2 linked regions of the Struthio camelus genome follow. The protein of the gene in region 1 purifies or fractionates together with the protein of each later gene. This does not show direct contact. Links are inferred from orthologs where the notes say so. Each region holds a gene or a part of one and is shown in the gene's direction. Other genes may lie near its edges. The genes, in order: HDAC5 and PRKD1.

Region 1 (3,900 bases):
CGAGTGACGTCACCGAATGTTGTTGTCGGGGCGGGCGGGGCCGCGCGGCGAAGATGGAGGGGCGGCGGGGCGCGCGCGGGGCGGCGCGGCCGGGCCGGGCGCGCGGCGGGCGGCGCGCGGGGCCCCGCTAGGCGCCGGCACCGCGCAGGTAACGGCCCCGCGCGCCGGGGGGGGTGGGGGGGTGCGGCGTGCACCGGGGGGGGGTGCGGCGTGCACCGGGGCGGGGGCGCCGTGCAACGCGGGGAGCATGTAATGGCGTTTTTTTTTTTTTTTTTGGGGGGGGGGGCACCGCGCACTGGCGATGTGGCGGGGGGGCCGCCGTGCACCGCTGGATGCGCTGGGCGATGCCGCGCGGGGGGGGGGGGGGGACACACACACGCACCGTGCAGCGCGCGTTATGCCGGGCGAGGCGAGAGGGGGGGCCCCGTGCAATGCGGCGGGGGGGGGCCCGTGCCCCGGGGGTTGCGCCGTGCAATGCGGTGGGGGGTGGCCGTGAAATGCGGGGCGGGGGGGGAGGCCCGTGCAATGCCGGAGGGGGGGGGGCTATGCAATGGTGGGTGGGGGGGCCGTGCAATGCCGGGGGGGCCCCCGTGCATCCGCGCCGCCGCTGTGCGTGGGGCCCGGGCCGCAGAGGGGCTGTTTGCAAACGCATGTTTGGGGGGGGGGTGTTGCACCGGTCTCGGCTCTATCGCTGACCGCCCCCCACCCCAAACCTGCCACGGGTGCGGGGTCCCCCCGATGCAGGGTCGCGGCCGCCGCTGCCCCGCGCGTGTCCAGCCGCTGCCCCGCGCGCGGCCGCCCCCCCCCCCCTCCCGTTTCCCTGCGGAGCCTTGTGTAACGCGGCGGCCGCCACCGTGGCCTCGCGGCGGGCGCTCGGCCGGGCCGCTGACGGCGCTCGCCTGCCTTCCCTCCCGCAGGGCCTCCTCGGGGCATGGCGCAGCGGTGCTGAGGCCGCTCGGCCGAGCCGCCCGCCTCGGCCTCCTGCGCGACGTCCCGTCCCGTCCCGCCGGCCGCCATGGACTCCCGGAGCGACGCAGGTGAGCGCCGGCGGGGCGGGATCCCCCCCCCCCCTTTGCCCACCTGCCGCCGGCCCGGGGTGGGGGGCTCCGCCGCTGCCCCCGTCCTCTTTACCCCATCTGCGAAATGGGTTCAGGGACCCCGCAGCCGCTCGTCGGCCCGGCCCGGCCCCTTCCCTCCCTTTCTGCTCCCGCTCCGCCGTCCTCCCCCCTCTTCTTCCCCCGTTTGGATCGAGCCGGGCTTTTCGGATGGTGCTTTTGGGAGCCGAAGCCCGGCGGCTTGAGCTTGGGCGGCTGCTGCTCGGCGGGCCGCGTGTGATGAGCTGGGCAGGTCTCAGCCCGGCGTCGCCAGGCTCCCGTCCGTCCCGGGCACCTGGTGGCCGAGACCGGGTCGGGGTCCGCGATGCTCTTCGGATGCTTGATGCACCCCAGGGTGGGATTTGGGGGGGGGGAGCGCTCTCTGCTTGCACCCGTTTTCCCAGTTCAGCCCCAAAGCCGGGGTGGAGGGGGGGGGCGGTGCGTGCCGCGGGGGTCCGGCGGCCGGCGAGGGCTCGTTCCCGCGGCCTCCTGCCCGACGGCGGTGCCAAAAATAGCTCCGCTGACGTCAAGCCCCAAAGCGCCCCGGCGGGCGGGGGGCCGGGGTTGGGGGGGGGGGGCGGCACGGGGGGAGGCGTCCCATAAATATCCCGGCTATTAAAAGTCTCAGGCTCGGATTAAACACGCTGGTAAATAAACGTGGCTGCCTGCTGGGGGGGGGGGGGTTTACGCACGGCCCCCCCCCGCGGGGGGGGGCGGCAGTGGGACGTGTGGCTCGTGGGGGTCCCCGTCGTGTGCCCCCCCCCCGGGAGCGTGAGCCGGTTCACGTCACTGATCCGGCAGAAAACGGCTCCCGGTTTCGGCTGTCGGCGCCACTGGGGGTTTGGGGGGGGGTCCTGGGGGGGGGTGTTAATCCCCCTCGGTGCAACCAGGATGTTATTCCTGGCAGCGCTGATGCGGATTAACGTCCCGAGCAATTAGGGTCTCCTTGGGGGGGGGGGGACACAACACACCACCGGGAGCAATTTAGGGGCTGGGGGTGCCGGGGTGACCCTGCTGGGCGATGGGGCGTGGGGGGGCCGGAGCGGCACCCGTGGGGGCGGCCGTGCCCGCGGGACCCTGCTGCGGGCTGGGACCCCGGCGCGGGGTGGGGGGAGCCTGGTCCCCGACCCCCAGCCAGCGGCTGGGGCAGTGGCGAGCAGTGATTTGTTCCCCCCCCCCACCCCCATCTCAGCGCTGCATTTGGGGGGATTTTGCATTGTACCCAGCACGTCCCCCCGCCGTGCCGGAGCCGGCGGGTGCTGGTGCCGGCGGGCGTCCCCGGAGCCCGGCTCCCCTAGCGCGCCACCCTATTTATAGCTGGCTCCTCCCGCGCTCCCGCTATTTCCAGCGGCCCCCAGGGCCCCCCCCCCCCGGGCCGCGGAGAGCGGCACGCCGAGCCCCGGCAGGGCAGCGTGGGGCGGCCGAACCCGCCGGCGCGCTCGCCGGGCCCCTTGCCCTGGGCGCCGCGGCGCGCCGCCGACCCTTTCGGAGGGGCGCTCGCCTTTCGCCGCCGGCCCGCCCTGGAGCTGCTGTCCCGCGCGCAGCTCCGCGCCGCCCTGCCCGCCGCAGGTGAGTGCCGCCGGGGGGGGGGGCGGGTGGGTGACCCCCATCCCCGCGGCGCTCCGAGGTGCCCCGCGCCGCCGCTTGCCGCCCGCCTGCTTCTTGCCGCGGGAACCGCTTGGCCCTTTTTCCCGCGGCGCCGCGCGGTGCCCCCCACCGCCGTCCCGGCCCGCTGCCTCCTCCTCGCAGCCGGTGCCCGGGGCCGGCGCTCGCCGCCTGCCAGCGGCTAAGAATACCCGGCGGGTATTTTTAGAGCTGGATCTCTAAGCCGCTTATCTCTGCCAGGCGGCTTTGAGCAGCCCGGAGCGAACGCTGCCGGCGCGGCGCTGCGAGGAGGGGGCGGCGATGGGGGGGGGGGTTTCCCCGCGTCCTCCCTGCCCGTTTGGGGTGGTGGGTTGGGGCCGCGCGCCTGGCGCTGTACGCGGGGCCGAGCGCAAGCGCTGGGCTTCGCTCGGCTCCGGGAAGCCCCGGGTCAACCGGGGTTCTGCAGCCTGGGGGGGGGACACGGCGGCACGTGGGTGCCCAGGGGGACGGTGGCAGGACGCCGTCCTCGCTGCAGTCTCGCCCGGGGTTTGGTGCGCGGCACGGTGGGCTTGGTGGCAGCGCTGCCTCTGCTGTGGGGGGCTGAGCCGCGGGCCCCCCCGGCACGGACTCGGCCCCGGAGACACGTGTGCACGAGGGGACCGGCTCTCCTTGCACAGGCGTGCACGCAGGGGGTCTGGCTGTCTTGCGTGGGTGTGCACGAGGGGACCGGCTCCCCTTGCACGGGCGTGCACGCAGGGGGTCTGGCTGTCTTGCGTGGGTGTGCACGAGGGGACCGGCTCCCCTTGCCCGGGCGTGCACGGAGGGGGTCTGGCTGTCTTGCGTGGGTGTGCACGAGGGGACCGGCTCCCCTTGCCCGGGCGTGCACGCAGGGGGTCTGGCTGTCTTGCGTGGGTGTGCACGAGGGGACCGGCTCCCCTTGCACGGGCGTGCACGGAGGGGGTCTGGCTGTCTTGCGTGGGTGTGCACGAGGGGACCGGCTCTCCTTGCACGGACGTGCACGGAGGGGGTCTGGCTGTCTTGCGTGGGTGTGCACGAGGGGACCGGCTCTCCTTGCACGGGCGTGCACGGAGGGGGTCTGGCTGTCTTGCACGGGTGTGCACGAGGGGACCGGCTCCCCTTGCCCGGGCGTGCACAGGGGCGGAGCTGGCTCTCCTTGCACGGGTGGGCATGAAGGGGTCTGGCTCTCCTTGCACGGGTGTGC
Region 2 (3,900 bases), on another chromosome or scaffold:
CAACACTAGGTATGATTTTCAACAGCAAAACCAAAGGGTGTGGTTGAAAATACTTATGACTCCTAAGGTAATAAGAAAAGCTACTAAGTGGGACTAACTATCATCTCAATCTAGCACGCTGACATTTTCATCAGACTTGGTATTTTGTAGAGGACACAGATTAAAATTAACAGTTTAAAAAGAAAACTTGCTGAAGAATAAACTGGGTCCAAAACTATATAGACAATAAGGGTGGCAAATCCCAGGTGTGAAATAAACATGCCACAGCAAATTGTGACCCAATAAAACATATGATGGCAAAGAAATAACATTGTTACTGTACATTTAGTCAAAAAAGTACTTTGTAAAAAAACCAAGTAAATGTGGGATCAACCTCTACGTACAAACACACATTTACAACTGCCATCCTTACAGGTGCCATATGAAAAACTCAAGAGTTTCTCCTTTGGTATCTAAGGTATTCACAATTCCTTTTTCCCCAATCATTTGACAGATTACCAAGTGGAGATTAGCATTTTTTTTTGATTAAATGTCACCTGCCACCACATTGTTTGTGCATATGGATGGGACTTGCGCTGATCCTGAAAGTTGGGAAGAATAACTCATCCTGGTTTTAGATGGCAGGGAGCTCCTTCTCAGCACAGCCCATTATGTGAAACTGGAAGCTGCTTACAGAAGATACAGGTGCAAGTTTTTCCCCCCATCTCTTCCCGCAGATAGCCCTGACGGGGGCTCCTGGAGGAGGTGCCGGTCGAGGAGAAGGAGCCGGGGATGGGCAGAAGCTCCCACTCCCACGCAAATCTCCCCACCGTCGCCCAGGCTCGGCTGCTGCCACCCAGCCCTGAGGAGCCCACCGCACTGCCTCGAAGCGAGGGAAAATCCGCAGCTTCCTCAGGCTCTGCCTCCACCTGCCACCAGCTGCGGCCGGGGCGGGCGCAGGGGACGGGGAAACGGGGATGAAGGCGGCTTTGAAGGTCTCACACAACGGAGGGTGACGGGCAATGGGGGGGGGGGGGCGCCGCTGCTCCGGGCAGGCTGTGCCCTCCTAGTGACCGGGGCGGGAGCGGGGGGGGCCGGGGCGCGGGCGGCCAGTCCCGCGGGCGCCGATGGGGCGGGTGGAGGCGGCGGCGTCCTCGCGCGGGGGCACCCGCCGGCAAGGGGCGATTTCAGCGCTGCCGCCCGTGGGGACGCGGCCGCCGTGTGGTGGCGGAGCGGCGCGGCACGGCACGGCACGGCAGACGGCCCGGCCCGGCTGGCCTCGGCGGAGGGCGCGGCCCGGCCCGCCCCCGCGCCGCGCACAGCGCCAACAGCCGGAGCGGCGGCAGCACCTCGCCGGCGCTGGGCCGGGCTCCCCCCCCCCGCCTTCACCGCTCTGCGCGTCTCTCGCCGCCTTTTCCTGTCTGCATCCTCCCCGGTCCTCCCCCTCGCCCCCCCCCCGCCATTTTCGCCCGGGAGGAGCTCGGCGGGACTTCCCTGAAACTTCGCGGGGAGCTCGCCCGGCGCCTCTGGGGCGGCCGCAAACTTTTCACCGCGGTGCCCGCGTCTCTCTCCCTGCCTCCCCCGCGGCGGCTCCGGCGGGAAGTTTTCGATGAGCGCCCCTCCGCTGATCCGGCCGCCCAGCCCTCTGCCGCCGCCGGCGGGGGCTGCTCCCGGCGGCGGCGGCGGCGTCGCCTTCCACCTCCAGATCGGGCTGAGCCGCGAGCCGGTGCTGCTGCTGCAGGACTCCTCGGGCGACCTCAGCCTTGCCCACGTCCGGGAAATGGCTTGCTCCATTGTCGACCAGAAGGTAAGAAGAAATCCCCAGTTTGAGCTCCGTGCCCTCCCCCCCCCCCCCGCCGCTCCGGCAGCCCCTCTGCCCGCGGGCGCTGCTCTTGGCTGTGAACTTTCCTCTCCCTGGCGACTCAGCTCCGGGGCTACGGAGACCGATCGCAGCTTTGCCGTGGCTCCCCTCCTCTGCTGCCTGCCCCCCTGCCCTCTCCCCCTGCCCTGCCCCGCCGCCCGGTCCCGCTGCCGAGGAGGCTCCGTGCGGGATGCTGGCAGGAGACTTTGGGTTTTATTTTGTTGGCAAGGGATGCAGTTACTGTATTAATAGCTGTTATTAAAAACAACCCCCAGCCGGATCTATCTGCCTGCTTTTTACTGCTTCGGAAGGCGGGGGGTGGCGGGGGGGGGGTAGAAACCTGTCAGCTGCGATGGCAGCGCGGCGCCCTGGGGCAGTTCATATGTTGTCCCAGCCTCTGCTGGGAGAGGAAACTTTCCACTTAAAAAAAAAAAAGAAAACAACAACACCAACAAGGAAAATCCAGCCCCGACAGCCCAGGATTCACAGCGGCGTGCGGCGCTCCGCACCCTTTCCCCCTTGCCGGGCTGCCCGGTGCCCCCCGCGCCCCGCCGTGACGCTCGCCCCGGGCGCGGAGCTGGGGGCGGCCCCCGGGGGGCAACGCCGAGGCTTGTGCGAGCTGGGGGGGGGGGGAGGGGAGTCGCACCGCAACGCCCCCGCCTCCTGCTCCGCCGCCGGCCGCTGCCAGCAGCCCCCCGCGGGGCTGGGCGAGCCCGGCCGCGGGGCGCGCAGCGGCCGCGGGGGGTCTGCGGAAGCGGCCGCAGCCCCGCGAGCCGGCAGGTGGCCTCGGCGCAGGGGGGGCGGGAGGCACCGCCTGGTGCTGCGGCCGCCGGGCCCGGCCGGGGGGCGGCGCGGGGTGCAGCGCCCGGCATTTACCTTGCTGCTCCTCCGAAATTGTAGCATCACGGGACAGAGTTAGCCAGAAGTCTCGCGCCACTCGGGGAACACCCTAAAACCCATTGCACTTGGATCTGCCCTGCAACGCCGCTACTCTTTGTCCTTTCGAGTTTCTGTGCCTCAACAATCATGTTGAATGTTAACAGTTTTACTGCACTACTGTGTGTTGTCTGAAAGACCCACGTAGAAGTATCACAATGATTTTTTTAAGGGCTAAAAAGTAAAACTGCCAGATATTCAGGTTAGTTATAATGGGAAATTTTTTTTAACTGCTTGTTTTTTACTGAGGTAAGATTTAGGGGGAAAAAAAAAGTCCAAAATTAAGTTGGTAGTTTTGCTCTGGGTTTGTTTTTACTCTGTCATCTAAACCTCACTACAGAGGGTGAACTTTCCCTTTTTTCACAACTAATGACATGTTTTCAAAATGGTATGAAATATGCAGCTTCATTTTTAAAATTCTATATTTTTCTTAGTTTAAGAAAGGGTTAACTGCTTTATTAAGTTAAATTCTGAAGAAAGACATGCCCGCAGTTTAACATTACTGTATTTGCTTTCAAAGCCCAGACGAAACTTGTTGCTTGCTCACACAGAAGTTATGCACAAGATATATGCTTTTAATAGGTATATAAGTTGTTTATAAGTTTATATATAACTTTCTATATATGGTTTATAATGGTTATGTATAGTTTATATATATAACTGTTTATCAGCTATTATATTAGCAGTAATGTAAATATGCTAAGATTGTTGCATTCATTGTTTATATTTTTGTGCTTGAGTAGCATATACGTTTCATGGGTTTATAATGTGCCTGAGTCTAATCTTTTGTATTTCCTAACAATTTCCTATTTTCCTAACAGTGTAGCGTTGGCTAAAGAAAAATAAATGTGTTGGCTTCTCATCCAAGAGTCAGACTTGATTAAGTAAGCACTGACATAAAAAATTTGAACAGCTTAATTTGTTGTAGCTTACAGACTGTCTTTTTTTGAAAGACATAATCTTTTAGGTGCTTTTCTACAGAGTATACTTGAATGAGGAGCTCTCTTCTAGTCACAGACTGTCACAGCCCAAATTACTGCCTTTGGGAAGAAAGAGGTTTAAGGAAAGGGAAAATGGAAAGAAAGATAGGCTTTTTTTCAGATGGTGGCCTATACCTCCCTCTA

The links.
Region 2: the proteins of HDAC5 (region 1) and PRKD1 purify together in Homo sapiens (affinity purification with western blotting; 4 studies listed by BioGRID, with this or other methods). This does not show direct contact. The link is inferred for Struthio camelus from reciprocal best matches to the Homo sapiens genes HDAC5 and PRKD1.

Annotation. Positions count from the first base shown.
Region 1 is NC_090966.1:4,665,298-4,669,197, forward strand, and holds the start of HDAC5 (histone deacetylase 5), read left to right. Parts: upstream 1-1,000; 5' UTR 1,001-1,015; coding exon 1,016-1,037; intron 1,038-3,900. UniProt on the Homo sapiens protein: Responsible for the deacetylation of lysine residues on the N-terminal part of the core histones (H2A, H2B, H3 and H4).
Region 2 is NC_090946.1:52,818,636-52,822,535, reverse strand, and holds the start of PRKD1 (serine/threonine-protein kinase D1), read left to right. Parts: upstream 1-1,293; 5' UTR 1,294-1,588; coding exon 1,589-1,786; intron 1,787-3,900.